Regions from separate parts of the Mus musculus genome. Here regions 1, 2 and 4 are each reported to be linked to region 3. Evidence: microRNA targets listed by miRTarBase, many of them from high-throughput screens and not tested one by one. Region 3 holds a microRNA gene; each other region holds the end of a gene's coding sequence.

Region 1 (7,736 bases), not on the chromosome of region 3:
CCTCACCCTTAGCACCGCTGCGGTCATCTTGGATGCTTAGAGTCCCTCTCAAACTTCCCTTGGCCTCTGTCTCTGGCACACTCCAGTTCCTCCACCTTTGCATATGCGGTTCCCTTAGGAGGGGCTGGACCACCCTCTTTACCCAGCATTCTCTTTTCAGGAGCTAGCTTTAGCTTCTTCGCTCCATGGCTCACATCCAGTTAGAGGTCCCCCTCCCCGCCCCCCGTAGAATGTCAGTGTCTGTACAGTGGCACAGTTACAGCCACACACACACTGGCACTCTTCAGAATCCTGTTTAGCAAGTGTAAGGTCAAGCTCTCCCCAGCACCTACTCCTACGCTGTAGGCTTGGCTGGGATGGTGAGACAGCTCGAATGGCTTCTAGTCTCTTCTCCCATCACATCTTGCCTCTATGGCTTGTTTTTTTCCTCAGGGAGAGGGGATGCTCTGGCTTCCTGCTTCTGTACCTTCTATTCTGGGCGATGTTTTATATTGAGGCTGCCAGGAGAGAGAAGCTGTCAGTTTGGCCTCGAGCCCCTCCCCACGACCCTTCAAGGGGAGCAGCACTCACAGCTTGGAGCAGCACACTGCTGGCCCCCAGGCTGGTATTGAGGGGAGTGGTTTTCAGCCAGAGCTCTTGATAAGATTTCTGACAAAAAGAGACAGGAGTTTAAAAAACAAAAACAAAAAAAACCTTGTGACAAAATAGTGTGTCCGTGAGCATGATACATGTTTGTCTGTCTATATACACAAGGAGGCAGAATTAAGCAACTATCCATGGATTTTTCTTCTTAGATCTTCTGCAGTGAACACTTTTAAGAGATGCTAAGCGGATGGCCTAGTTGGTCATCAAAGGGAGGAGAGGCCCTTGGTCTTGTGAAGATTCTATGCCCCAGTATAGAGGAATGCCAGGGCCAGGAAGCAGGAGTGGGTGGGTTGGGGAGCAGGGGTAGGGAGTAGGGGATAGGGGATTTTCGGAGAGGAAACTAGGAAAGGGGATAGCATTTGAAATGTAAATGAAGAAAACATTTAATTAAAAAAAAAAAACTGAAGGGGGGGGCGGTTTCAGCGGCACGCACGGTTCAGCCCACGAAACTGAGCAGTACAAAAAGACCGGAAATAGTCGCCTATCTGCCCCGCCCCATTCTCAAGTCTTCCCTATATGAGGTGCTTGCTTTATTCAATTTCCTGTTCTTTTCCTCCTCAGGTGACTGGATGGCCGGAATCCCCTCACACATCCTCAGCAGCTCGCCATCAGACCAGCAGATTAACCAGCTGGCTCAGAGGCTAGGCCCGGAGTGGGAGCCCGTGGTCCTGTCTCTGGGACTGTCCCAGACCGACATCTACCGCTGCAAGGCCAACCATCCCCACAACGTGCATTCGCAGGTGGTGGAGGCCTTTGTCCGCTGGCGCCAGCGTTTTGGGAAGCAGGCCACCTTCCTAAGCTTACACAAGGGCCTCCAGGCAGTGGAGGCTGATCCCTCCCTGCTCCAGCACATGCTGGAGTGACCTGACCCCCCCCCGCGCCCCCCCCCCACTTGCTGTGGGGGTGGTGGGGCGTGGGTTCCCAAGTCACACTGGCTGAACCGGACTTTTCTCAGCAGGTGGCTTTGTTCTGGGCTTTTCAGTGATCTGTTTACGGAAAGAGATCGTCCACCACTCACTCAACCATCGATTGGCTTTAATTGCTTGAAGACTGCGCTGTTGTAACTATGGTTTGGAACTTTGTGGCTGGCCTTTAACAGGAGGCCAGAAAAAACACAACACCCACCCTACCCAACCCCCCAAAAAATCATGCTACAGCATCGAATGCAGGTGTCCTGCATACAAGGCAGCTACACTTGTGTTGCCTGGAGACTGGATTGTGCATTTAGCTCTTCATAATGGTGATGATAATAAAAAAGCAAATTGTGATATAGAATGTGCCTCTTTCAATGAGAGAGTATTATATCACACACACACACACACACACACACACACATACACACACACACACCACTCTTCTGTTGCATAGACGGAGGGTGTAAAAATATGGGAGTGGAGCAAGATTGATAGCAGTCATGTGACGACGGAGATAAATAACTCAGGCAGGATGTATAGATTAAGCATGAGACACCGAAGCTCCCTGCAGAGGCCAGGGAGAGAACGGAAGACCTTCATCTTAACAAATTGTATGAGGAGTCTCTGTCCATTTGTTAAAGGCATTGGATCAGAGACAAGAGGGCTCAGTGTTTCTCTTGAGGCCTGAATGGCTGAAGGCGGTGAGTTCCCGAGGGGCGTCATGGGTTGTCCAGCCTTTCATTAACTGCACATAGTGTTAGCCAGACAGGTGTACGTGTTTGTCATCCCATCTAAGAGACTGAAGCAGGAGGATCACCTGTACATGACTGCTTCTTTCAACATTTTAAAATGTGTAACTTCTATTAAATTCTCTCAGTGCAAATAAAGTGCGTGTCCATTGTGTCCTTTCAAAAACCTAACAATAGATAAGATGAGGAGAAGCAAGAGTCTCCTTGTACTCCCCGCAGTCAGTCAGCTTTGCTCTGCTCTGCCGTCAGTTTCTTAGTTAAGCCCGCCCGCACATCCCTTCTGCAGCTGGAGCAGGATTGCCCTGTAAGGCTCTTTAACACTTGGCTTCCTTGCCTTAACACATAGCACTTGTTCCAATGCCAAAGGCCTTTACAACATCCTTTGCTCTTAGAGCACACTTGCAAGAGCTATCGTTTTGGCAGCACCTTTAAAGAGATTGAAGGCACTCAGCTTCTAAGTCTACCAACTGCTTTCCCCATCAAGAAGTTCGCTGGCATTGCAGTTCTTGCTTGACACACCCATAACCCCACCCCACCCAGAACCAATCCGAGCAAACTATTGTTCACTGCCTGCACTGTGCACCTTGCATCCTCACAAAGCTTAGCATGTCTGCATTCTGAGTTTTGTCCCTTGCCCCAAGATGTCCTCTCCACTGTACTACATCTAATTACCGCTGTGTTTCTTTTCTTCAAGAGAATGTTAGGGGAGGGACAGTCAACACAGAAGTTGCACACAGCCCCTCTGCTTCCTGAGGGTGTATGCGCAATTGACAGTTGCCGGAGGGAGAGACTGGCAGTATAGTTGTCACCTGTAAGTGTCCCTGTGACTTCTCACCATTGTCCTCACAAGTAGTCCTAGTAAAACTCATTCTTGTACCAGTCCAGATTTGGGTGGAGTGGTTTCTTTGGTCTGTCATCTTCAGAAGCCCTCTCTGAGGCACACAGACATTTGCTCAGATCTTTCCGGAAAAGCTAATGCGGCTGAGAGGCTAATCTCATCTCTGTTAATTGAGGACATTAAAGCCGACCAACAAAGACACAAGCCCTACTCTCTGGAGCTCACTGCCACATGAGACAGCCACAGACCTCTAATCACAACATGATGTGACAATTCCACTCCTGAGTACTGAGCCAGTGGGAACAGAGCAAAAGGACCCCCTCTGGTTTGCTTTTGAGGGGATGGGGGGCCTGAAGAAAAAGAAGGCTCCGTCACTCAGGTAAATCACTCCACCTTCTTGGGCAGGTTTATTCACGTATGCACACTAACTGGTCTATGAGTGCAGAGGATCTGCCAGAGGTAAAAAAGATAAATTGTTCATACAGTGGGTTTGGACAAGGAAATGTCTGAGCTGAATTATTTTGGCTACTGAGTTTTGTTTTGTTTTGTTTTGTTTTGTTTTCCCTAATATTCTTTATCAAGCCAGGGTCCCTCAAAATGTTAGGCTGAGGTCCCTCATCCTTCTGGGGCTTGTACAGCAGCTGAGAGTGTGCAGCTCTTCTGGGCATCCCTAGGGACTCAGGGTAAGGAAAAATGAACTGGCAGCACACGGCAGAGCATGTCCAGAACCTGGGTGGGACTCTGATCTAACACTTAGCTCTCATTAAATGAATCCCTACAGTTGGGGCACAAATTCTTGCTGGTTACAAAACACCCAAGTTACTGGAGATCCGAAGATAAATAAGACACAGTCTCTGCCCAGCAGGATCTCGGCCCTCCAGGAAGGCAGCCATAACAGCCAGGCAACTCTGACACTTCACAGAAAAGGGAGCAATTAAGTTGGCCACAGAGGAGATGACACTTCGGCTGAGCTCTTGTAAGCCCTGCCCAAGTTAGCGTGATAGCCCCCCCCTTAGGGGATATTAGGAGACACCAGAATTCCATTTAATGTCTTCTTCATCCAGCTTGACAAATGGCACTCCTTCCAAATGTCTACAAGATGCATATGCCTCCAAAATGCTATCTCGGAGCCATTAGAAACTAAACACATTGACAAATACCATCCTGTTCCATACTTCTTTATAGCAGTGGAGTGTTCAGCCACAGTAAAATCAGGATCAGGCTTCAAGGATTTAGGTATCAGGCATATTTGAGGGTGCTTTTTATAGCACCCCTCTCTCCCCCACCCCAACACTTGTACAAATTCAAAATAGATGTTGCAGCATACAGGGAATGTTTTTAATATAATGTCTTGTTTACTTCCCTGAACTATAAACATCTGAGAGGAACAGGGACGTCTGTCTTGTTGGCACTTACTGTTCTTATAGGAAAATTAAAGTCTCTCAAAGACACAGTTCAGTGAGCCAATTAAACCTTGTCTCTGCTTTGTTAAGCTCACGAGAAACATATGGTAGTGATTCTGATAGCTATTGTTCATTCAAAGCATCAGCTATGAAATCCAGGTTTGAATGCTCAGAAAGAAAAAGCAGATTCAACATCTTGGCAATAAGCATGTATTTCCATCTCATTTTCGTATTTTATCTCTAGCCAGTGCTGTTTTGGGTGTCACATTACATTCTTGATGGAGAGTATTTTCGGAAAATGTAAAATGGGCTGGATGTCATGAAATAATTATTCTTTTTGCTCTTGGTGACACTTAACCGTCCCTGTTTCTAGGGAGACAAATTGGTGTTGTGAGCACCTTGCCAGTGCCAATGACTTCGAGGTGACTTAGCTCAGTGCTGACCCCGGATGAGGCTGGATGCCTCCTCATGGCTAAGCTGGAAATAGATGGCAATGACCTCGCGCCTCTGGAACACACTTTGACCAAGGATGAGGCATCTGCGCAGGGGATGTCTATGAAGGCCCAGAACATCTGCCGTAGGAAGTGGTTCTTCTCCATTGAAGGGCACAGATTTCTTCCTTTACAAATATTAGAAAATGATAGAGACTTTCTTCAGAAAACACATTGAGCACTTGCACACTCTGATGTGCACAGATGCAGACATGTACGTATAATGTTCTACACAGACATGTTGACATATAATTTTGAAGGAATTTTCAGTACTTCTGAATCCAATTCATTCTTCCCAAGAACTACTCATGTGAACCCTGGTCTTCCTGCACCAAACTAGTCCACCAAGAATAATTTTTTTTTATTGTTTTAAATAATATTGGGAAGCCTTGAGTTCAGTAGGGTGGAGCTGTTTGTATTGGATTACACAAGGGTATAAATCACTGTGAAGGTGTTGAGATAAAGATAGAATCATTTATCTGAATCCAGATTTTTATATAACTGACCACAGATCTTTTCTTTTGGGGAGGGGCACTCTTAGGCTGACAGTCCTCTGGACCCACCTCTTGGCAAAGAAGAGTTTACAGCTGTGAAATGTATGACAGTCTCTGCCTCCAAGGGACTTCCTGCCTTCACCTTGTCTCTTTAGAACCAGAACTCCTCAGCGAGGAAGAAATGAGTGTTTTATGCTTAGCACTCTAAGAATGGTTGGTTTCTTGGGGGAAATCAGAGAAAACAGAGTCCCATTTACTTCACACACTGGGAAATTGTTCCTAACAACATCTTTTTTTGCAATCATCTGCTTGAATCTCGTTTCTCTTAGCTTCTGGGAGCAGTTATTTTTCTGCTCAGAAAACTAAGCTCCATGCTGGCTTTCTGGTGAGGGAGTGGACCCTTTGATTGTCTGTTTTCTGTCGTCAAGACATCATCTGTCACTCAATATTGTCATCTCCTGCTTCCCAGGGGACATCTTGTATTAATGGCTATAAATAAACCCCAACACGCCCTTTCTGAAAGTGTGAATAACAAAGCGTACCACACCGGTCAGTCAGGATAAGATCTCGCTCAGGCTCAGGGTAAGAACATTCATTGAGGAGGAATGGAGTCTTTGGAGTTTTGGAGGAAGATAAGTAAAGACATCCATCACTCATGGATTTCATGGGAGTCGGGAAGAAGGATGAGGTTAGTTTTAGAGTACACAGAGACTGGCGTTCCTTTGCAGTTAGTCAATCCCTACAACTAAAAAGGATGAAGCATTCCTTAGGAATCCCTGCTTTCCCAGGGCAGAGGATGTAGGTTCAACATTGTCAGGCCCCATTTTTGTTCATTTTGTGATACTGGCCTTTGCTTCGGGAAGTGTCCAGGATACTTGTTAAGTGTGGACAATTTAACTTTGTTTTTGTTTTGTTTTTCTTTCTTTAAAAAAAAAAAAGATTTATTTATTTATTTATTTATTTATTTATTTATTCAGAATACATTGTAGCTGTCTTCAGACACACCAGAAGAGGGCATCAGATCCCACTACCGATGGTTGTGAGCCACCATGTGGGTGCTGGGAATTGAACTCAGGACCTCTGGAAGAACAGTCAGTGCTTTTAACTGCTGAGCCATCTCTCCAGCCCGAATTTAGCTAATCTTAACCCATCACCTTTCACTTTATAATTGTTACTGTTCTTAGAGAGCACAGGGCTTGGATAAAGTGAACAGTGGTAAAAGTAAGTTTTGTTGTTGTTGTTTTGCTGTTTTTTGTTTGTGGGAACAGGACCAAGGATGGTGGTTGAGAGGTGAAAAAGTCACATGATAGATCCCAGGTCTCAGACTCTGGAGAGCAGCATTGGGGTGCAGATCTGAGTTTATTGCCCAATGCATAAGCTTATATGCAGTGTTTGAGCCAATCATATCGTGCCATGCCATCACCGTCACCATGCCCCAATAAAAGTCCCATCACCTGTTAGGACTTCTGAGAAGATGTGGGAAGCAGTCACCACCCTGGCCTTGGTTCCTATGACTATCTTGCTGGTGTTCTAGAGCCATCTTAGATCTAATGCCCTGGACAGCAGATCTGGATTCTTCGAGGAGTCACAGGAGCTGTGGTGCCTCGCTCTCCATCCTACTTTTCCCTTCACAAGGTTGACCTCCACGTCCCCCACAGTTGTTTGTTTTTACATTTTTACAGGCTGATATGATGTAGATATCATTTGTTCCTAAGGATTCATTTGTTAGTAGCATGGTCGGTGTGGTGATGTGGGAAGTGAGATCTTTAAGAGTCAGGTCTGGTGGAAGTCTTTAGGTCTTTAAAAGCTCTTCATGAAAAGGAATTAAGAACCTTCTAGTGAAATCCTGGGTTTTTCAGAGGGTGGGTGGTTACAGGATTAAGAGTGACCCCTGAATGCATCTTTGTATGGAGTTCTGCTTTCCTGTTTGGCAATAGATCTTTCCTAGTAGCAAGCTCCCCTGCCGTTAGGCTCAACTCTGCCAGGGACAAATCAATGGAGCCATCCAATCTTGGCTTTTCCATCTCCAAAACTGTAATCTAAACAAACCTCTTTCTTTATAAAGCTAGCCTTCTTTAGCTATTCCATTGTATTAATTCTAAACAAGAGCCTGAAACACACTTGAAAGAAGAAAAATCAGCGTTGTAAGATTTGTGTATGAGACAAATCAGACTCATATTTCAGGAGCCCTGTTCCGTAACA
Region 2 (7,736 bases), not on the chromosome of region 3:
GTTGGAGTCCAAACAGAATACCAACAACAGGAACCTGGGAGAATTGTCTAGGTAGTGGAGTATAGAAAAACTTTTGTAATTTTAATTAATGTATGGCATTTAGATTATAATCTATTCTCAGGTCTCTGATCATACTGATAGCTAAGCTAACTATAGCTTGACAGCTAGAGGACAGGTAACTAGCTCCTTATCCAAGGTAATCTACCATCATGTTAGTTTATTAGTCAATTCCTTAGCTAGTTACAGCTATTAGAAAAGCAAGTAGGTATGCCTTGCTTATAGACACCATGCTAAAAGACAAGGAACTCAGTTTACATTGACTGCTCCCAGTGATCAACCACCTGTGTCTCATTCATGGTAAATAATTGGATAGAAAAAAAAACTGTAAAGTTTGTGCAAGGTTTGAGGATATAAAGCTTAAAGTATGAGGATCTAAGAAAATGTTTTAGGGTCTAAGGAGGTGTTTGAAGGTTAGTAAATGCAAACGAAAGCCTAAATGGTGATAACTGAGCAGGAGATCCAGAGAGTTGCATAGATTTTAGGATGTGGACTGTGGGCAACCTAACAGGACTGAGGGGTGTGTTGGTAGGTTGTGGGATCTGGAGTTTCTGGTGCCTGTCATAGAAGGGATCCCTGATTGAGATGAAAGGCAACACAGGGGAAGGAGGCCTAAAAGTTGAAGAGGAAATTTTTTTGGTGATATCTTTGAATGACTGGATCCAAAACTGGGAAGGAGAGCGCTTCTTGACCAACCTTTTGGGTTATCTAGTTCCAGTCAGCCAGTACTGTTGAAGGGATCCGTTCATTCCTCTTTGTCTCCTCTCAGAAACTAGGCCATACATCATCCACTCCAGGAGCAGACCATGAAACTAGGCCATGAATGAGACACAGGTGGTTGACCACTGGGAGCAGTCACTGTAAAGCGAGTTCCTTTTCTTTTAGCATGGTGTCTATAAGGAAGGCAAGCCTATTTGCTTTTCTAATAGCTGCAACTACCTAATGAATTGACTAATAAACTAACATGATGGTAGATTACCATCTGCTCAAGCAGCAGACCCCAAAAGTCCAGGAACAAGACAATAAAACCCCCCATCCGAGAAACAGCCTGAAGATAGTCACATGAATGGGAGATATCTGATCTCAGGATAGGCCATCTGTGCTGGGCAGCCCATCCTGTGGTTAATGCAGTCCGTCTGGGGCATCTCAGCACCCACCAATGAAGTTTTAAATTACTTAACCCTAACACAGTAGCTAATCAAAATTGTACTAATGTCAGGGCTTTAGCTTCTACCAATTACATTAGAGATTACCGGATCATTCTAGAGAGTTCCCCCAGTTCCCTATAAGAAGGTGTATGCCTTTGTCTGGGGTCATGGCCATTTTGATGCTGTGCTGACCCTAGCATGCTGGTTGTTTCTGCAGAGTAAACACTCTTTGTTCTTGCATACTATTTGAGTCTGGGGTCTTCCTTCAACAATTCCTGAACCCTAACACTGTTTGGCTCTTTTTCCTCCCATCCTAACCAGATACCTTTCTGCGACTTTGACCCTTAGTCATGGCAACTAAGCAGAACTAGCCAGATCTATGGTAATGGAGCTATTGACCCCTACCAAGGAGGGTCAGGAGAACCTTCTCTGGGATTCCAGGGGGATTACTCTCTCATCCAGCTACAAGTGATCTTAGAAGACGTTACTAAATACTAAAGTAAAAGGTTAAAAGAGAGACTTCATGATGCCTTTTCTATGAGGATAGCATCCGTGGGGGAGCACTTTGAGGGAGCACTTTGAGGTGACTTGGGTGCACGTGCAGTCATGTATGCTGCTGAATGTAATTCCTGGGCTCATTAAGAAAGGACAATAAACTCACTGGTCTCACTAAGTTGAACTTTGGTGAATGCATACATTGGTCTGTCATTGGAACACATTGGGGTGACTAGATATTCTCCTGTGTACCCCAGGAAAAGTGAACACAGCAGGCAGATGACTTGTCTAGGTATTTAATTGAACCAAGAAATTGAACCTGAGCTTAAGCCATTTTAAGTTTCTAGTACTGGGAAGAGACAGCATCCTGTTAATGATGTCAGCTGATACTAGGGTTCCGTGGGCACGCATCGCCAGTTCTTGGTTCTTATGTCCTGGAACAAAAAACTGTAGATAATGACAAGCACAATGGAACAAAGGATATTATGGATGAGCTTCCAAAGGGGGAAACATACAGGAACCAGGAGCTAGCTGAGCAGCCGGACGACATCACTGCACCAAGCTGGGCTATAAATTACCTTAGCACAGGATTTTTGGCTCATTTGCATAGCATGGGTTTTTCTGTTCATGTTCTGTCTTGGTATGTGTAGCTCTACATATAAGTTCATATATGTAGTGTCTCCTTAACTTAACTCTCCATCCAGCTGTGTGTGCATGATAATGAGCCATGGTTTACTCAGGAACACCCTGGAGTGCCACTGAAAGGGAGACAATGGGATGAGTTGAGTTTGGGGTAGGAAAAATCAGTATCCCCTGCCCCCAACCTACTTTTCACATGCTAATTTTGTAAGATTATGTACAACACCTGGGTCTCACTCAAACTCTTCTTTTAGAATAGAAAACTGCATTTTCACAGATCTAGCTCAGTGGCACAGTGGTAGAATATTTCTCTGGTATGTGCACTGTCCTGGAATTGACAAAACAAAACAAAACATTTGTTTATCAAGTAGATTGGGTAATATAGAATTGCCTTCTATAGGGAACAATCACAAATAAGAAATTGATAGGTAATTGTGGCCTTTTAACCTCAGTTTTTCTTTGATTGGATCAAATGATTTGTATGTACATATACATATCACACACACACACACACACACACACACACACACACACACACACACACACACACACACACACACCTATTTTCCCCTCCAGAGATGAAGAAACAATGTTTTTAAAAAATCTGAAACTTGTAGTTAGGTGACAAGCAATTTTATTTTGCAAAACAATCACTATACAGCAACAAATACATTTGCAAATTGATTGAAAAACATGAACTAACTACAACCAGCCATTGAAGAAATACCTTTCTATGGTAACAGGCTCTAGAATTATCAGAAGAAAGAACCCCCCACAGATGGTGTGTTGAAACCTTGGGATCCCAGCATACAGAGTATACTTTTTGTTGAATTTTCCCCCCTTTTTGCTAAAGTTGAAGTGGACTTTCATGATTGGCATTTTTTTTAGGGGTTTTGAAAAAAAAAAAAAACCTTTTCCTACAGAGGGACTTGGCCTCAATCTACATGTCCAGGCTAAAACTTCTAGGTGTAAAAACACAAACATAAGTATTAATTTTAGCACATCAATCTTGGAGAAATGCCTGAAATTTGCCTTTTCCAAATGATTAATCTACTTTTACTTTGCTACTTCTACCACAATCATTTCCTTTTTTCCCCCATGTGGCATGAAATATGAGAGGAAAGCTATAAATGAGGCTAAGTCAGAATTATTTGCTTTTATATCATTTCTTTACTACCACTGACATAATGCTACATTTGGCATTATATCTCTCTTCTACCCCACATCTGTGTGAGTGTGTGTGGAGAAGGGCAACTACAGTCTATTCTTCCCTTTACTGGCTCTCTTCTTCAGCTACCTTCAGCCAAACTGAGCTGGAATTGCACAGGGGTCTTTCCTATGGGTGGGATTTCAGCCCGTCATCCTGCTGGAACGCAGCAGGCAGATCCAGAGAGAGTCAGTTCCTAAAGGAACTTGGCCTTTGAAACTCATCATAGACTCGGATCCTTCCTGCATTGTTGCAAGGTACCCAATTGTCAGTTGCAGGAGACCCAGAGTGTGTGAGTTTATTGAAAAAGTGGGCCTTGGAACTCTTCCGAGCTCTGGATACTTACGTATTCTTAAACAGGTTCTCAAAGGCTAAAGCCAGAGAGAAACTGGCATTAGTGGATCTAGAAATGCAGTAGTGCACCTTTCATTTCTAGATCAGCGTATGTGTATCCCCACAAAAGTGGTGTCCAAAAAGCTTAATTTGAGTCATTATCTTAAGAGAGTAGGTAAGGTGAGCTCCATCCCACATTCCCATAAGGAAATGATTTTAGCCTGTGCATTTCTCTGTCTGTCTCCTATAAAAATTCCTTCTTGTGATAACTTTATAGAGAAACACATTTCACATAGAACAAGGACTTATATCCATTATAATTGTTTTGACATTAGAAAAAATGATTATTTTAGTGCTAGATCTATTAACATTGGGGTTTACATAATTTTTTTGAACACGCATCATAAGAAACTGAATTTTAACACAAAGAAAATGTTTACTTAGGCTTAATTTTTATAATAAACTGGGTTGAAATTATTTTCTGCATAGTTTAAAACCACATGGATCATCTGGTACCTTTTTTTCCTAGACAACTTTGATCCTTGTCTATCAAAACATGTAAGAAAAGACTGTACTTCTCCACACACAGTCATTCCTTCTTCCATTTTCTGTGCATTTCAAGAGAAGGTAAGGAATGGGTTGTCCAGAGTGAAAACCACTATTCAGTAGTTTTAAAGTTATATAAAAAATAACCAATTTACAAAGACGACTGTAGTGTGTGTGTGCCTACTAGCCAATAAGACTGTCTCTGTTTGATGCTAAGCTTTCTATGTGACTGTCACATTGGTCATAATACTCAATGGGTCACTAAACTGCCACCTGTTTCTCTCCACTTTTGCATCCTCTTGCCTTCTGTCTTAGACACTCCTACATCTTCCTATCCTGTTCATGTTCACCTTCTCCTTTGTATACAGGGCTTGGTTTATTTCAGAGACATAAAACACCCAGACAGCTTTTTCACATTTATCTCTGCATATTCCACCCACCAATCCCGAGCAAGCAAAAGAACAAATTAAATATTAAGAAAAAAAGTCCACTCGGTTTGATAATGCTCTGCCTTATTTTGGGCCATCGACTATTACTTATTCATTAAGTATGATTTGTAAATGATAGTAATTGAGTTGTGATGTCTAGATTGTATATAAAGCAAGAAAAAAATAGCATTTACTCATGAATAAGTAATACCATGTTCCATGTTCATGAAGAATCCTGGAGAGATGGATTTAGATATCTGTGTCTCAAAAGTATTACATATATAGCTTCTTTATATGTTGTATTTTTCATCTTTGATCAAGAGGTCTTTGGGGGAAGGAAGCCAAATATATTCTATCACAGAATTTAATGAACAGATACTGTTTGGAGAACAAGAAAAGCTATTCAAAATTATTTTTTCCTACTTTCAACTTTAGCAAATGGAAAAAGGAAATAGAAGAAAGAGTAATGAATAGTAAGAGATTGGTGTCATGGATAATTAGAGGGATAAAACCCGACCTATTTAGTGATTATACATGAGATAAATCCATAATCCTTGAACCAACATCTGTAAACCCCTTTATGCATAACTGGACCCACTCCACAAACTCCATGTTGGTGGAAGCAAAGAAAAGTAAAATGTTCTAGCATCACAGGAAAGACTTGATTCTGGCACTAAGACAGGGTTACAGCTTTGAGTTGTTACAGAAAGCAACTTCATGCTAAAACTCTTTGTCTTTTTAAAATTTATTTTTAAATAGGGAGAGAACCCTGCTAACATCTACTTTCACATACCTAAAATTGCAACACCAAAGGGTGCAGGAGACACAGATACTGTGAATAAAGAAGTATCATATTCAAGTATATGAGGAAGTATCACAAATGGCCACAGAGAAATATATATATATATTTATATCTATAATACTGTATCAAACAGATGGAATGGGGGTGTGAAACTGATTGTGTGGATATAAATCTAGCCAATCGACTGACATTCTAATCAGACACAAGCCCATCCTAACAAAAGTGCATCAATCCTAAGAGATGCACTTTGACACCACTTCTTCAACCAACGCTCAAATGCCTTAAATCTAGCTTGTAGTTCAATAATTTATTGGAATGGCATACTCTGATATACTCGTCCAGGTCCCAAGTGTCAATAACTTAATTGCGTCTTTCTTCCCATTTATACAAAATAACACTTTAAAAAATGTGTTTCTTACATGCTCTTTCCTTCCTGCAATCAGACTCCTTGATTTCATCGAACCTGTAGTAAGTAACAATGGGTAGGTTTTAATCTTTTCAACCATAAACAGAATAGGGAAATGAGCAGCTTGGATTTTTAACAAGGCCTTTCAGAATGTATTGGATAGCCTTCAGGCACATGAAAGGTAAAAATGCAATTTAAAAAATAATAATAATACTCCATGCAAAACAGAGCAGAGCGAAAATAATTGTCCGATTGTATCCATGTAAAGCCATGTGTCCTTGTTGCGGATGGAATTCAGGTCATTTTCTGCATATACTATTAATTTTTTATATAAAATTGTAACAATTACTACAGTTGGGGGATGAAATTATTTCTCTATGGTTTGTAAAGAATGAATATGACACCTGCTCAGAGCCCACTCCTGCCAAGAGCTCATGCCTAAATGTTACTCCAGTGCTAAAGGAGAAGTATTCACAAGCCCTGCTTAGCAAGCGCCGCAGTGACATCCTCAGCCAAAGTGGCAAGCTGAGGGGATTCGAGCAGGTTGATGCTTCCAGAAGATGAGACGTTGCTGAGTCGTCGGGGTGATGCCACGCTGGACCTGCTTGGGGACTGTGTGATGATCTCAGCCCCGTGATCTACCCGGGCCTTTGCATGCTCTCTGAAGTTCAACTTTTGGCTGTCAATCTGTTGAAGAGAAACATCAGCCCTCATTAGTTCAAGCATCTTCACCAATCACTAGCTCTTTCCCACCTGTTCATATAAGAATATGATGTGTATTCAGCTTAGCATCTCTCCTTCCTGTTTGAGAAGTTCTTTAACCAGAGATCCACTTTGATCAAGCTATTTCAGAATAGCTAGGAGTAATGCTGGGTTACTAAAGTAGTAGTTGTAGGTTTTTACTAGTTAGGAACATATATTCACACTAATATGTATGTGTGTGTGTGTAACTAATTAAAAACATGGCCATGAATTTGAAAGAGAAAGAAGGTTTCAGAGAGAGGAAAGGGCAGGGGGAATGATGTAATAATGTATATTATAACCTCAAAAATAAAAAATAACTTAAAAAGAATATTTCATAAGAAACATGACTGGTTCATTGCCATTCTCACCTTCACATTACCACCTCCAGGTACGTGGTGAGCATTGTCAAGTGAGCCAACTTTAGCTTGGGCCTTTTCCTTGAAATCCAGTTTTACACTCTCAATTTTCACACGTCCACCACCTTCAGGAGAGAAAGCCTTTTTTAAATGCCTTGCTGAAATGGAATCTTATATTTATAAAAACTACACTCACACAAGCATAAGCCATATAGAATGCCAGAGAAGGTATATTTTCCTGTCCTAACCAGACATGGGAGAAATCTGTTAAAATTTTTAGCCCACTTCATTTTGCCTTATGATCCAAGACAATGGCATCTTTCCTATACTGTTATACACGTTACTTCATGTATTATGCATTACTTTTTTTCAAATCTATATCTGTCTTAGAAACCAGAGAGGTTTCCTTGTTATAATACAACCACTAAAATAACACAGTAATGAAAATATTGTATTGTATCCTTTCTTAACCTTTGGATATTTAATCTTTTATTTTTTTACTAGAAGAAATTAGATGGAAATGAAACTGTTCTTTCCTGACCTTCATGGGAACAAGTCACTTATCTAAAGAAAGT
Region 3 (7,736 bases):
TTCCCTAAGAAGTGCTCACCCTGAGTAGTCAAGGATGCAGGGATCAGGCTCATCATTAGATACCATTTCGTCTTCCCTGTTTCTTTGGCACAACCAGAAGGGGGAAAGGCAACATCCTTGGTGCTTACCCTCACCCAGCTCCCACACTCTTTGTGGCTCTGAAGCCACAAGGATAACTGAAATTCTGCTTAGTCCACTTAGTTCTCAAATAGAATCCTTAGTTTGCCAAAGCTCAGAGAGAGAGAGAGAGAGAGAGAGAGAGAGAGAGAGAGAGAAAGTCCTTTTGAAGCACCGGTTTTATGAATCTGATAGGATAGAACTAAAAAAGTTCGGGAAAGGGGAAGTATATCTGACGGGTGTTTGAGAGCACTGGGAACCTTGTAGGCGATAGACGAAGAGTTAGGACAGTTTCTAAAACCTTAGGCTCCTATAGAGTGTCCATTCCCATCTGCTCAGCCTGTGCTCAGGTCAGGTCCTCAGAAATGTTGGCTTTCAGGAGAGAGGCTGGAGAACTAGCGGCTGCCTGGAGGCAGTGACACACGCCTTCGTTGTGATCCGAGGAAATCAGTACAGGGCTTGAGCCACCTGTATTGTGTCTGTGATAGAAAAGACCAGAAAAACGAGAAGAAATACTTCTGTAAAGACGGACTTGGGATGAGGAGAGGCACAGATTGAGTCTCTTTCAGTCCCAAGTATCCTTGGGACAGGTGCTTAGTTTCTTGGCTCTGTATGGGAGACTACAGGCTATGTCCTTAGCAACAAAAAGATCTTTCTATGGGTATGTGATTATTGTATTCATACTGGGGGCTGCTTTTCCCATACGCTTGAAGTGTTGGATCCCTGGTCCCTCATCCCAGTATCCTTCTTGGGCCCTGAAAAAGGCAAGAGGGGCTGGGCAGGAAAGTAGACTTGAACAGTATCCTGGAGACAGAGGCCCACTGAGTGAACCTCATCAACCTTAAGTACACTGTGTACCCTAATGGGACTGGACCTGTTGTCTAGGCTATTCTGTAGTGAATATACTCAGATGGAGGGCCTGTCTATGACCTGATCCTGACCTGGCCATTGGTCACATGGAAGTCTACATAGCCTGCCTCCCAGCTCTTTCGGGCTGTCAGCCTCTGGGAAGGACTATTTGACCCTTCAAAGTCCTCACCTGGGCCCCAAGCTAGTCCACTGCAGGTCAGGTTTGGCTGGGCAGGGGAACTTGTCTATGGCCATGGGTGCTAAGTCCTTCCTCTGGGCCTTATAGAGAGGCAAGAAAGAGGCTTCAGGGCCTATAAGACCCCCATCCTAATTATTTTCCATCTAATTTCCAAAAGAGAACTTGATCTTACTTCAAGCTGTTGACCTCTCCACTACCTATCTTTGGAGATGAGAATGCAGGGCTTTCTGCTGTTGTCCTGAAGGGGTGCCCTCCTTCTGCAATGCTCTGGGGATTAGGACACTTAGGCATCTGGGCCCTGCCCATGGAATCTAGTCATCTTCAACTCCCTGCTAGGCGGCCTCCATATCCAACTTGGGCAGCCGTGGCCATCTTACTGGGCAGCATTGGATAGTGTCTGATCTCTAATACTGCCTGGTAATGATGACGGCGGAGCCCTGCATGCAGCAATGGAGCCGCCTCCTGATCCCAGCCTCCAGGGGCCCCAGTTCCACACCTCACCTACCTTATCCAAGGTAGGGCTATGGGGCAAAGAGTTAGCCTTGGCGATATGGGTGGTGGGAGGCTTTAGGGAGAGTTCCCCCAAACCAGGCACCTCTGAGGGCCACTCTATATCCTGGGGTGAGAGGCTCCTCCCATTGCCCTGGGGGCGCCCCCTCCCAATGCCCTGGGAATTAGGACAGTCAAGTGCCTGGGTTCTGCATACAATACCCAGGCAGGTGCTGCCACCACACCTGGCAGGTGTACGCTGGGTGGAAGTGCAGCAAAGGCTCTAAAGGGCTAAGTCTCCGCCTAGGCTCAGAGGGCCTCATGCCAAAAACTGCCTCACCTACATCTAGGAGCTGTGTACTGATTGACCCCCTAGTGGGGCTACTCAAGCCTGGGATACCTTACCTTCCTGCATCAAGTGAGCACCGACCTATTGACCAACAGCACCTCCAACATGCACACTGAGCCAATGTGTCACTGTCCCCTTGCTTTGGACAAAGCAGACCGTATGAGTTAGGGTCAACATCTCTGCTGGCTTATTGCGATGCATATACGGTCTCTGGCTGTTCATGGCATCAGGTTTCCACTGGGCCTCCCTGAGGGTGGAAACCACCTGTGTCTTCCTGCCAGAGCATACCTGGGCCTCTGTGGGCATCTTACCGGACAGTGCTGGATTTCTTGGCTTGACTCTAACACTGTCTGGTAACGATGTTCAAAGGTGACCCACCATTCGCCGAAGACAGGCTGATGATACACACTTGTCCTCCTGGACTCCAGTTAGGCCGAGGCTGGGTGCTGGGTGCAGAGGGCCTGTCTCAGCTCTACAGATCAGCAGTCAGTGGGGGCTGGACTTTGACCCTTGTCTATTACTTCATGCTGGGACAAGGGATGGTTTCACCATGCCAGGGGTACTGGAGTAGAAGTGGATTGTCACTCATTCTCAGAGCAGCGATGCCCACCTTTGCCAACTCCTCTGCTGGATTTGGGGGTTCATTGATTCCTAGAGAGACTGTGAGGGTTAGTGAGGATGCTGAGCTAGGTAAGGAGACATGGATAGCAGTGTTAGCATAAGGACTGTCAGTGCCTATGGGACCAATGGGCAAGGGTGGGTTCGGGGACCTGAGCCTGGTACACAGAATTGTGACGTCATCAGCTGTTTCCTAATTAAGAACAAGGAATCTCTATTCCTTCCCAATGGCTTTCCAGAATAGGAACTTTGCCCCAAACCAGAATCCAGGATTACTTCTTATCTTTCTTTACTTGGAGCCAGAGTACAGGGTCAGGGAGCCCCACCCAGTATCAGCCTAGATGACTCTTCCGGGGGAAGGAGTCTGTTCCTGGCTTTAATGTTACTCATTAAGCTGACAGCCATTCAGAAAACCAAAGAGGTGCTATGACGAGCATTTGCCAAGTAAGAGTGAGCAGATGACTCTCCTGTTGCACCCACAGACTTCCACACTTGAGGAACAGGCAACCAAGCTGGGCCCTGGTAAGAAAGTCCTTAGAGTAGTCCCAGGTCCTAGAAGGGTGAACCCCAAGAATGGCCCTTGGACCAGAGCAGGCAGGAAGCCAACCCTGGCCTTCCCTCTACAGGTATCAAATCCAACTGCCCAGATGGGGAGGCCCTTGTACTGCCCTGCTGATGGATGTCTTACCAGACATGGTTAGATCTGGATGCATCTGTCTAATACTGTCTGGTAATGCCGTCCATCCACGGCCTTATCACCGCTGGAGACGACATCCTCACCACCTCGTGGACACTGGGTAGAGACAAGACCTTAATCCATCTGTTACAACTGTCCAGAGCTGGGTTCATCAAGCCCTCTATGCAAACAGACCACAGTTTAAATATACAGGCCCCGCTGAGCCTGACTGCCTTCCTCTGACCCTGTAGTAGCTTTCGGTTACAGCCACAGCAGACTGAGGCCTCCGTATCCATCCTTTTCAGGAATAGTCAGTGGGGCGGTCACAGTCCTCTTGCCCTCCATAGCCCACTGGGCTCCACACAGAGACTTCGATCTGTCGTCAGCTGTCACCTGCAGATTCTGTAGCCCCTGTGCTATCAACACTGGTAGGAGACAAGAGGAGATCTAAAACCTTGGTCCTTTGTCTCCTCTCCAAAATTCTCAGGTCATGGAACCAAGGAGAGTAAAAGCAAGTCTAACCACTGTGCCCAAACCCGGAGTGGAAAATAAGTATATGGGTTTCAGGGACAGGGGCACTGCCAAGGTGCCAGACCAGGTGATAGTGACTCATACCCAGGAATATGCACAAGGCTGCACAGCTCTGCCGTTGTCAGCCTGCTTATGAGCTCTTCCTATGCATCCCACCTCTGGCTCTTAGGATCTGAGAGTCATCTTTCAGTCTAACTCTGGATGCTGAATGGCCCGATCTTAAAGATCCCACCCCCACCCCATGTCCCTGAGAATTTTCAAAAGGCTGTTGCTAAAACGGTTGCTCTAGAATGACTCCCAATGCTTACATCATTTGCTATATGGGGAGTTTGAGTGTTGCTGTGATAAGAACTAGAAGTGAACCTCTTAGACCTCATCTGCAAGCTGCTGGCTTCAGTACCTAGACTTCTGCAAACCTCAAGTTGGCCAATACAGCCTGAGTCCAGCAGAGCCAAACCCTACCTCATCCACTGCCCTCTTGAAGGAACCCAACATGCCCTAACAGATTTCTTAGCCCTGGACAGGCCATTCCTCTAAAGAACCATTATAGGGACACTGGACTTCATCTTCCACAGAAACCTGCTGGGCTCCAAGTTCTATGTGGCTGAGGGACTTGTCCGCCCATCGTGCGCTCTATAATAGGTGGTCCCCTTTTTGTCATCTCTTCAAGCATTGTAAATAAAATGCAGGCAAAAAAAATCTTTGTAAGGCAATAAATTGTGTGATTTCTGAAATTTTATGTTGATCATCTCATTTTCACCGTACAAAACATTAACAAGCAGCCTTGCAAAGGATCAAGCCGAGGACACGGGGACTCCAGTGATCGGTGCTCCCGCCAGATAGAAGAGAGACATGGGGCTCATTGTACCCAGCCAGTCATTACACAAACCAGCTCTGGTATGCAATATGTACTCTAGAACCTACCAAGGACAGGTGAATCAGGAAAATGGGGGCTCCTGTCTCAGCCAAGAGTCAGCCTTGGAGTGAGAATTGGGTGTCTTGTGCAGGAACCAAGCCCAGGGTGTTATGAATGTGAAAGCAATCACTCCACCCCTGAGCTACAATCCCCAGCTCCTGGAGTGTGCATTGAAAATGTCATAGCCAGGATCAGAGACAGCTGGCTGCTGGTCCAAAGCCTCTCCAGGGTTGGGTGAGCTACCTGTCCAGCCTGGAGGCTTTCAGCCCCAATAACTCAGCCCAGGGTTTAGTAGAAGTGCTATGTGCCCCAGCCCACCTGCAGTCCCACTGTACTATTAGTCTAGAGCAGAGAGGTCTCTTGATCCAGCACTGGACTGACCACAGAGACCCCGACTCCCAGCACAGCATAAGAAGGGCAGATCTCACAAGTAGAGAATGACAACCTATGGGGCACTCCTATCGCCATAGGACTCTGGGCACAGCTGAGAAATGGTGCTCCTTCAGACCTGCCAAGCACAAGCTCCCACACTGGCAGCTTAGACTAGGGAAGGCCACGTGAGTGACTTGTCATGCCCAGCCTCTAAGGGGATGCTAGAGCCCCTTAACATGAGCAGAACCACAAAAGAACCTGAAGGTGAGGAGATTTACAGGGTAGCCAAAGACAACAGTTGTCTTCCAGAATTTCCAAGATATGCCCCTAGAACCTCAAGAAGGCCCTAGAGGGAGTCTTCAAGTGTCTTCCTCGTCTTAGTTCACAGGTCCTGTGGCTTACAGTCACATACCCTTATCTCTGCTTCCCTCTAAAGAGGTCACCAGTCACTGGGTTTAGAGTACGGCTGGTTGACACAAGATGACTGCACCCAAAATTCTAACTCAGTGACATCTGTACAGATTTCTATTTTTAGAAAGGCACGGTCATGGACTCCAGGATATGGTCCTGGTTTTTGGAAGCACCATGTAGCCCCTGTCAAGTTATTGTGATCCTTGCAAGGCTCTGAAAGATGACAGGAATGTGGATCCATATGGCTGAAAACTTGGGGTCAAAAGCAGGAGTCACACCAGATCCCAAGGACCCCAGCAGGAAACTACAAATTGGCCTCAAAGCCACTTTGAGCCATGCTTGGTGTTAGATCCTAGTTCTTTAGGTATGGATTAAGGAGTCCCTGTGAATACTCAAAATCATCTAGGAAGAATTCATGGGGGGAAGGGGACCTGGAGAGATGGCTCAGTGGTTTAGAGCACTGACTGCTCTTCCAGAGGTCCTGAGTTCAATTCCCAGCAACTACATGGCGGCTCAAAACCATCTGTAACAGGATTTGATATCCTCATCTGGTGTGTCTGAAGATAGCTACAGTACACTCACATATATAAGATAAATCTTTTAAAAATTTCATATACATACACACACACACACACACACACACACACACACACACACATATATATATATATATATATATATATATATATATAGTTCATGGGAGGATGGAAGATGTGGGGCTATGCCCCAGATTCAGATGGCGTTGTGAACTCAGGAACAGCTTCCCCCCAGCCTCCTCAGATCAATTTGACCCATTCTCCACTTCTTGCTTTGCCCAACTTCTGTAAGGCTGCCCTTCAACTCAATGGTCCCTTTCACCATCCACCTAAAACTCTTGTTTACCTTTGGGCAGCTGCTGAATCATAGTTCCCTAGTAACAGTTGCCTGGAGACAGTTGCCAGGTCACCACTGTTGTATCCCAGCAGAGGGTTCCTAAGACCTTGAGAGCAGGTAAGAGAGACTAGGTGGTTACAAGCTGAGGGTCCTGACTAGGACTGAGGCTGAGTCCTTGCCCTCCTGTGCCTCATTTTTGACTCTTTCCGGAAGTAGATAAACAGGAGAGAGGACTGGGCAGCTTGGCTGAGTTCAGCCCTCTGCCAAGGCCACACTCTCCAAACCCAAGTGTCTCAGCCAACAAAGGCGTGTCTTGTGGGGCGGGACTGGTCCATGTGGGCAACTCAAGTTCTGGGGAGGGCTGGGACCCCTTAGAAGGAGCTCTTTGCCTAGAGCCGTGTCTGTCTCCCCCAGAACTGACCCCTCAGAAGGGCCACCTCCTGAGATCCACAGAGAACGCATCCCCAGACAGTGAGCGCAGCTTGGGAGGCACCGGCCCTTCAAAAAATGTCAGCACCTTCTCAGAGCCCTGTGTTGCCAAACGTGTGTGTGTCTAGAGAAAACTTCAGCAGAGCACTGACATGGTCATTTTCTTGGCCATCTTCTTCAGGTTTAAACGCATCTCCTGCCCATTGTACCGGGGTGTGATTTCCTGCCGGTCTTTTTATCTGATCAGGTAAACATGTTTATTTTAAATTTATTATAAAGACTTCAGGCTTCAGTCTGGCTCCTCACCTTGAGCTTTCCCTTAACTTTTATGTAATATCACAAGATTCATGACCACACCATTTGCTTCAGTATTAGACAGCTTGCTTCCTGAAACTGTAACTGAAACTTTTAGTGTAAAACTTCCTTTCTGGATCTTGGGTCTCCTCCTCAGAGACGCCCTGAAACGCGCTTCCTAGATAAGGGCAGTAGCTGGTAGCTTCCCAGTTTAGATGCTGTACCCCAGTCCTTCCTCTCTTGGGTACATAGATCCCTACTCACTCATTAGGTTTTCTATGAAGTTTTTGTTATTTTTGTGGGTTTTCCTTGGTTTTGTTTTTTTAATTTTTGAGGGAAGGTTTCATGTAGTGTAGCTCAGGCTGGTCACCAACTTATATAGTCAGACTACCTTGAATTTCTGATCCTCCTCAAGTAATGGGATTCTAAGTGTGCAATGCCATTCCTGGTGCAGGGGACCAGATCCGGGGCTGATCTTATATATGCTATGCAGCACTGTATCAGCTGAGCTATATCTTGAGCCTTGCTATTTTTTTTTTGTTGTTGTTGTTGTTTCACAGGGTCTCTCTATGTAGCCTAGGCTAGCCTCAAGCTTTTGGCAATTTCCTGTTTT
Region 4 (7,736 bases), not on the chromosome of region 3:
GTGTAACAAGTTATCAGACAATCCATAGCTTCAGACCACAGAAACTGATTACAGCTCTGGAGTTCAGAATTTGGAATACATTTTCACGGGACTACAGTGAAGGCAAGCTAGCAGGGTAGTGTTCCTTCTTAGGAATAAAGGCAGGATCTGTGTTCTTGCTTTCCCTGGGTTCTGAAGCTGTGCTTCTCTGTCCTGCATGGTGTCAGCAGCTCGACCCTTCTCTGTCCCCTTTGCTATCCACTTCTGTTACTGACTCTTTTTCTTCCTGAGCTCTAATATTCTTTTTTTTTCATGAATTCTTAGAGAGATCTACAATATATTTTGATCCTATTCACCCCAACTCTCTCCAAACTCCTTCCTAAGTCCTCCCCAACCCCTATCCCTCAACTTTCTGTCCTTTTGTTTTAATAACTAGTTGAACCTACCATGTACTTGTGGGTTCGAGGCTATCCCAGTGGAGCATAGTCAACCTATCAGGAGCCATCCTCTCAGGGAAAACCGATTCTCCCTCTTCCAGAAACCATCAACTGTTCATACTCCTTTAAGAGGGATACTTGTGGTTACATTGGACCCCTGGGCGTAATCCTGGAAAACTCAATATGCAGAGCCTAATTCTATCAGCATATAATACATATATGATCACATGTTCACAAGGCTTCATGGATTAGGGCAGTTTGGGGCAACCAGTTTTCAGCTTACCTCATTTGAATACTGTTTATAAGAATTTCCTTCATAAATATATACAGACATTTTGATTTTTAGTGTTTAACATACCAGCTATATTTAAGACTTTCTACCCATAAAGGATGATTTCTGAGGATGTATGATGATTGAACTTTATTTTTCATGCATATTTTCATAACACTGAATTTTTGTAATATCATCAGAGTATGAAAGGATTTTCATTTTGCTTGAAGAAGTGCAGGGACCTCTAGAGACGAAGAAACAGTTTGTTGAATTTACCATCAAGGAAGCTGCAAGGTCGGTATAAACAGCACTTGTATAGGCTTTCTAATTGCTTTGGGTTCTATTTGTCTTTGTTTTAATTTAGTAGTAGGATCCAATGAAGGATAAAGTCTCTCTCTCTCTCTCTCTCTCTCTCTCTCTCTCTCTCTCTCTCTCTCTCTCTCTCTCTCTCTTTCTCTCTTTGAAAGCACTTGTTCTACTCATAGGTAAGGGTGCTTCCTGCAGTGTTCTGATGGATGCTACCAGAGTCCTGACTCATGGGTTCTAGCTAATGTGTATGTGCGCTCATCAGATTGGCATGTCCCCTTGCTCAGCCCTGCTCTTTCCATGAGGATGACTTCTGCTCCCTTTGGCCTGCAGGCTACATAACACCTGGCACTCTGTAAAGTTGTCTATGACACTTATGCTTACTCTCTTTTTCTCTTCAGGTTTAAAAGAAGAGTCTTAATTCAGTACCTTGAGAAGGTACTAGAAAAAATCGATTCCCACCACCTTCTTAACAATGTGAATCACATCAACAGCAGATCATCATGTTAATGCCAAGCCAAGTGAGGAAAAAGAACACCTTTTATGTGCTTTCAAATGCAATGGGACGTTACTGAAGCCCTATAGTATGTTTGAGTGACAGAGCGACCTAACTCAGGCTATGAGAAAGGAGTTGACTTGAGCTTTTAACGATTATCTGGAAGTAAAATCTGGGCTTTTGCCTTAAGAATTATTGAGAATATTTTTTTCATTTCGTTGTTTATTTTTTCCAATTAGGAAAAGAGATGCTGAATCACAGAGCACTGCTGCTCCTACTACAGCTAGTAGAGTTCACTCATTTTGGACCTTGCCATTCCAGGCGGTTTCAGAGTGAATAGGGACTGGCCACTTCCAAGGCGAGCACTACCTACTGTCCTCATTGTGTGCTAAAGAACACGAAAGCAGAGAGAGTCCACGTGGTGATCTTGTGCTCAAAGAACTCTTCAAAGATTTCTAGCTGTGCCTTTTAAACCATGCAATATTCAGGATCGTTGGAATCAAAGAGTAAAAAGCTGCTATTTCGGTAACTTAATTCTCTCTGGGAAAGGGCAGGGGGAGTCAGCAAACAATCTACCTCGAGTGCTCTTCCACTTTGACTAGGACCATTACAAAGTGTATCTGAGGCTGCACTAACCTCTGACATCTGTTCTTGCATGTGACAACAGAAAGCTTTCAGGTGGACTTGTACATTTTTGTGCTTTGGAAGCACCAAAAGGAAAAATAATATGTATATTTTCTTTGAAGTTTATACAGAAGTTTATATGGAGCAGTATTGTTGTTTTTATTTGTAAAAATGTAAGTGATCAAAGAGATTTTCACTTTGCATATATGAAATAAAATCATTTTATTGATTTTTTCAAAACTACATTTCTAGGTGTATGTCTCTTGTGTATATCCTTTCAGAAACAAACAAACTTCACACTATCAAACAAATGAACACGCTAACAAAAAGACCCATAAGACAGCTTAGCAAGTACAGGCCCTTGCCACCTAAGTTTGATCCCTGGGCTGCCCATGGTGAAAGGAGAGAACCAACTCCCAGAAGTTGTCTTCTGACTTCTACACACACACACACACACACACACACACACACACACACTGTGATACAAGCACATGTGTGTATATACATAAACAAAAAAAAATTTTTTTTAATGTTAACAAAGTAATTGAACTTAGAAACATAACATGGTGTTATTAGAAGGCTGTGGGGAGGCCAGACCCTTCCAAATACGAGTATCTGGGGAGAGAAAACTGCCAAAATCAAGTTTACTGGGACTCTGAAATTTAGCCAAAAGGTTTGTCTCTGCTTTTGCCCATTGAAAATTTTGTACATGTATTTTGAACATATTCATCACTCCTAAGTCCTCCTATTATTGCCTCTCCACCCACCATATGTTGCCAAACAATTTTGAGGTTTCATTTTTTTTTCTTTACCCATCAAGCCCAGTATGTGTTGCCCAGCTGGTCATGGGAGTGGGGCCTGCCCTGTTATATGGTCAACCACATCATTAAAGAAAACTGCCTTTTCCTCTGCCAGCAACTAGCAAATGCCAGTAGCTTCCCAGCTAGCCATAGAATTCCATGTCTACCTTTGTCCCTTTGTGCTGGCATTTTTGTCTGGTTAGAGCTTGTACAGGTCTTCCGGAGTCTGTCACAATTGCTATTAACTCATATATGTCTGTCCCATTCTGTCTGAGAACAGTTTCTTTGGTATGATCAGCCATATCTAGCTCTCATAGTATTTCATCTGATCCTTTTTTCAAAGATCCCTGAACATTTTGTTCAGGGGTATTAGGACTGAGCACTCCAGTCTCATATTCTTTGCATGTTAATCAGTCGAGTATTTCTCTGTGAAGTGCCATCTATTGAGACATGCTTCTCTGATGAGAGGTGAGAGATGTACTGATCTATATTACATGTTAGCAACGTGATTTGAAGTCATTTTTTACTGTGTCTATCTAACAGAATAACAGTAATTGATTCTTCCCTAAGGCCTCTGGTCTATCTAGCCACAGATTCTTGGCTACTTGAACAATGCTGGGTATGGGTCCAATTCTCATGGAATAGCCTCAGATCCTATCAGAAAGTGATTGACGGCTCCCATACCATGCTCTTATTGCCCCAGTGGGCAAATCTTGCCAAACCAGTTCTTGTAGCTTGCAGGGTTCACACCTAAGTGAGATTGATGATGACTTTTCTTCTCCGGCAACATGCATAGCATCTTCTAGCACTGTGAACACTAGCCAATAGGGGTAAAGCTCCCAGGTGAGTACCAGCTTGATTTTTCCATGTTCTGTTGTGACTAGTGATAGGATCTTACTATCAAGTTCTGGAGGATAACAGTATAGACCATAGTCTATATACTACTTGGAAGTCTATGTCACCCCATTGAGCAACAACTCAAAAAGCGGTAGCTATTGTTTGATAGTTTCCCTCTAGATTGAGAAACTCCATCATGCAGGGAAGCTCTTTAACAGAAGTTAAACAACTCAAACGAGCTTCAGGAAGTCCCCAAAACTGACCAGATTCACTAGGCCCCTCCTTCAAGAGTAAACAGGACTTTTGAGAGTCACTCTCATACAAGACAAGCTGCAAAGAAAACCCTGAGACCAGATCAATTGCCTGGAAAAAGCAGAGGTCAGCTTAGCAGCCTGGAAGACATTTAGTTCTCACCCATGCTGGAATGGGCTTTGGTGATGCAGCTGCTGTTGTCAGTACTTTTCCTGTATGTAACCTCTCACCCATATTCCTGTAAGTAACCACAGTAAAACTCATTGGTTCACCAAGTTGAACTTCAGTGGTACCTGTACTTTGGTCTGTCATGGGATCCCTATCTGGGGTGAATAGATATGTGTGTAGCATCTCCCCAGGGAAAGTCTTGTCACACAACAACAACAACCCATTTCTGGTACTAGAGTTTTGATTTGTTACTGTGGGGTGTTTGGTTGTAGAATTTTTCCCTGACTTAGAGTAACCAAAGTGAATGTGGAATAATGTGAAAGGCCATGAAAACAGTAGGAGAACTTTGTGCTGTTTTAACCTACACTTGACCAAGCCCTCTCAAGATCCAGCCATGGTTTAGAAGATGGCACAGTAACTGGATTTATTATATCAGTCATCTTAGATATCAAAGGAGCCAAAGGAAAACACGCATAAACAGTCCAATCAAAGCAGGAAGGTAAGGTGTAAACTAAGATAAATAGGAATATGTAAGCATAATGAGAGGAAACGAATATAGATTATGAACCTGAAAAGTATAGAAACTGACATGGAAAACCCCTAAGAGAGTTCAATAGCAGATTTTAGCAGACAAAGGAACCTGTGAAGTTGATTGAAATTATCCAATCTGAGGAGCTGAAAGAAACTGGGAGTATGAAAGTGAAAAGAGCAGAGGATATAGCTATCAAGAGACCTGGATTCTGAGCCTTAGCACTAAACCAAAACCAAGACCAAGAAGTAGAGTTTGAGAGACTCACCTTAGCCTATGGGCCACCACCAAGCATGACAATGTATATGTCTTAGTTACTTTTCTTGCTGTGACAAGACCTTACGAATGAGGCAGCCTATAGAAGAAAGTGTTTATAAGTGCTTACAGTCTCAGTGGATGAGTTTGTGACCATCATGGTGGGGAGCATGGCGGCAGGCAGCCAGAGAGCTTACAACCCTTAGCCACCTTAGGAGGCAGAGAGCGGAGAATGATGTAGGCTTTTGAAACCTAAAAGCCCACCCACAGGGACACACCTCCTAATCCTTTCCAAACAGTTCCACCAACTGGAGCCTAATTATTCAACTATATCAGGCTATGAGGCCATTCTCATTTAAAACACCATAGTATACATAGTAGGATCCCTGGAACAAGAGGTGAGAAAGCACTGTGACAAGTATGGAAAGAGACTATTTAAAGACCCAGTAGTCCCAAGCTCTTAAACTCTATAATAAATGTGTATCAGAAAAGGCATCCAACTCAAGAAAGTGCAAAGCAGATAGAGAATCACTGACAGAATCAAGCTGATAAGAGACAATGAAGATTCTGAAGGCAACCAGAGTATCTTGTTACATACAAGGGACCCAACTCCTAAGTTTGACATTTTGTTTCTTATCAGAAGCATGAAAAGACAAAAGGTAATATAATAGCACTGAAAATGCTACAAAGGAGTTGTAGATGTAGCTATGGTAAAGTACTATCTAGTCTGTACAATGCTCTGGGTCCTCAGCACTGTGCAAGAAAGGAAAAAGGATGGATTCAAACAGCAGAAGGGAAGTGCTGTCAATCAGGTATAGTATCTCTGGTCACTAATGAGGGAGAATTTAAGACTTTCTCTGAGGAAAAAAAAAACATTAGGAGGTTCATCACTGTTTGAGTCCTACTGCTTGAAATACTCATCCTCCAGGCTGAAAGGAACACACAGCAGTAACTGATACAAAGAAACAAAGAGAAAGCATCAGTGAAGGTAACTGCATGTGCTACCCTTAGGTTTTAGGTTAAATCTTGGGAGATGAGGATAACATAGTTATTAATGATTACAGAGTTTCTCTTGGTGGGGCAAATAAATTTGGAAAGAGTCATAATTGCTGCAGAATCTATGCACACTTAATATGCATGAAAATAATGAATTTACGTTATACATATTTAAGCATGACTTTAAAAATGTCAGCTACCAAAAGCCACTAAACTGTAACCTACAAGGGATGAATAGCACTATGTGAGAGTTATATGTCAATGTTTGTTGAATATTGGGAAGACAGATTTTGAAAGAACATGATGTAACTATATGCTCTGTGTGGCCACAGGCAGATTGAAAATGAAAAAGTAAAAGCAGTTACTCCATGCAAATGATCACCAAGAATGAGATTGGTGACAACATAAGACAAAATAGACATGGAGCCAGAAATAGTTATGTGAAACAAATACAGACCTTATGCATTGTGATAAATGAGTCCATTCATCAAGCTGTAAAAATGATAATGTACTAAATGAGAAAAAGTAAATGACACAAAAATTGAGCAAATGGGAAAATATAGAACTCCACAATAGTTGTTGAAAACCATTAAGTAGAACTATTCAGAAGATGAGTAAAGAAAGGACTTGAATAATGTTAAAAACCCAACTATATCCAGCATATCTATAGAACACTACCCATTGCGTTTGCCATATTTTGTGCATCCATAGGATGAGAGCTGATTTTGCTCACCAGCTCCAAAATCACTCTTTTGTCCTGCTCCATGGATATTCTGATTCCTTTAAAGGTCTTTTTCTTGCTGCCATTGTCACTGACATCTGTCTACAGAGGACTCCTGGACAGTATAAAGCCCAGCTTCCTGTTTCTCTGGGCTGGTGGCAGCCAGTTTTCCTGATCTCCAGGCTTGTGTATAGCAGATTCTGGTTGGTCCCCCACAGATCCTCCATGAGTAATCTGGGGCAAGGTACAGGCCCAGCAGCAATAGTGGTCATTTACTTCCTTTTTAGTCCTCTCAGCCACTAATAAATCAGATTTCTTCTGGCAAGTCTAGTGCCCCTTTATTTCATTCAGTTTCAGACATTGGGAGAAGATTTTCCAGTGGCCAGTACTCAAAGGATGGCTTTCTACAATGTTCCCAAGTAATCACACTATACAATCACTAGGCCTCCACAACATCAGGATTGCAGCACTGAGATGCATATGGATAAATGTTCTCATTTAGCATGGAAGGCAACTCCAAGTTGGGCATTCTTAGTGTATCGTGGGGTCCTATTCCACAGGATATTTAGGATGGCTCTTCAAGATATCTCTGACAGGTGGCTGTTCGTTCAGAGGTAGAGAATGGATTTCTTGCAAGCCCCCAACTGTTCTCTAGACTAAAGCAGGCTTCCTTCATGTAGGGTTCTACCTCAGTTCTCTGGGGGACTTCTGCCCAGCCAGTAACTACTCTGCTCATGGTACACAACTTTTCTGCGCATGCACAAAGAATCCTGGGGAAGCTAGAATCCTGTGAAGTTGGGAGGAGAGCCGGTGAGGCTCAACGGGTTCCGTTCTCTTCAGCAAGATTCTCGATCTTTTTCCCTGTGACTCTTCTGCTACTCTTGAAGCTGGAAAGGGTCCCATCAAGTGTAAGTCTCTGCCTGGAATTAAGTTTCTAACAGTCCTCAGGTGAGGATAAATCCTCAAGGACTGGCCTCATCTACTGAGAGGGAGTGGCATTGTTTGTTTTTCTGAGTCAGCCATGTTGCGCTGGGTCTCATCATCTCAGGGGTGGGAGTTTTGCTT

The links. The annotated mature microRNA mmu-miR-429-3p reads UAAUACUGUCUGGUAAUGCCGU and lies in region 3 at 3,340-3,361, shown strand. An mRNA with a match to its seed (bases 2 to 7 or 8) in the 3' UTR can be bound and repressed. Matches are read on the target gene's strand: a 7mer-m8 pairs with bases 2 to 8, a 7mer-A1 pairs with bases 2 to 7 and ends in A, and an 8mer does both.
Region 1: the mRNA of Cradd is a reported target of mmu-miR-429-3p. Seed matches in the 3' UTR shown: 7mer-A1 at 1,941-1,947.
Region 2: the mRNA of Map2 is a reported target of mmu-miR-429-3p. Seed matches in the 3' UTR shown: 7mer-A1 at 6,270-6,276, 8mer at 5,771-5,778 and 7mer-A1 at 4,670-4,676.
Region 4: the mRNA of Ints6l is a reported target of mmu-miR-429-3p. Seed matches in the 3' UTR shown: 7mer-m8 at 2,259-2,265.

What each region holds. Positions count from the first base shown.
Region 1 is chr10:95,169,449-95,177,184 of GRCm38, reverse strand. Cradd (CASP2 and RIPK1 domain containing adaptor with death domain) reads left to right here. Exons shown (of 3, transcript NM_001330138.1): 3 at 1,207-2,446. The coding sequence ends at 1,508. Among named protein-coding and RNA genes, the nearest start is that of Gm29684, 27 kb to the right of the region's middle.
Region 2 is chr1:66,437,804-66,445,539 of GRCm38, reverse strand. It overlaps Map2 (microtubule-associated protein 2), which reads right to left. Exons shown (of 15, transcript NM_001310634.1): 14 at 7,174-7,286; 15 at 2,957-6,748. The coding sequence ends at 6,533. Among named protein-coding and RNA genes, the nearest start is that of Unc80, 26 kb to the left of the region's middle.
Region 3 is chr4:156,049,541-156,057,276 of GRCm38, reverse strand. It overlaps Mir429 (microRNA 429), which reads left to right and starts at 3,290; the gene lies at 3,290-3,372. Gm13648 (predicted gene 13648) reads left to right here. Exons shown (of 2, transcript NR_132444.1): 2 at 3,248-4,562. It overlaps Mir200a (microRNA 200a), which reads left to right and starts at 2,292; the gene lies at 2,292-2,381. Mir200b (microRNA 200b) reads left to right here and starts at 1,527; the gene lies at 1,527-1,596. It also overlaps a transcript of Ttll10 not described here.
Region 4 is chrX:56,505,486-56,513,221 of GRCm38, forward strand. It overlaps Ints6l (integrator complex subunit 6 like), which reads left to right. Exons shown (of 17, transcript NM_172779.4): 16 at 888-981; 17 at 1,395-2,358. The coding sequence ends at 1,503. Among named protein-coding and RNA genes, the nearest start is that of Gm648, 40 kb to the right of the region's middle.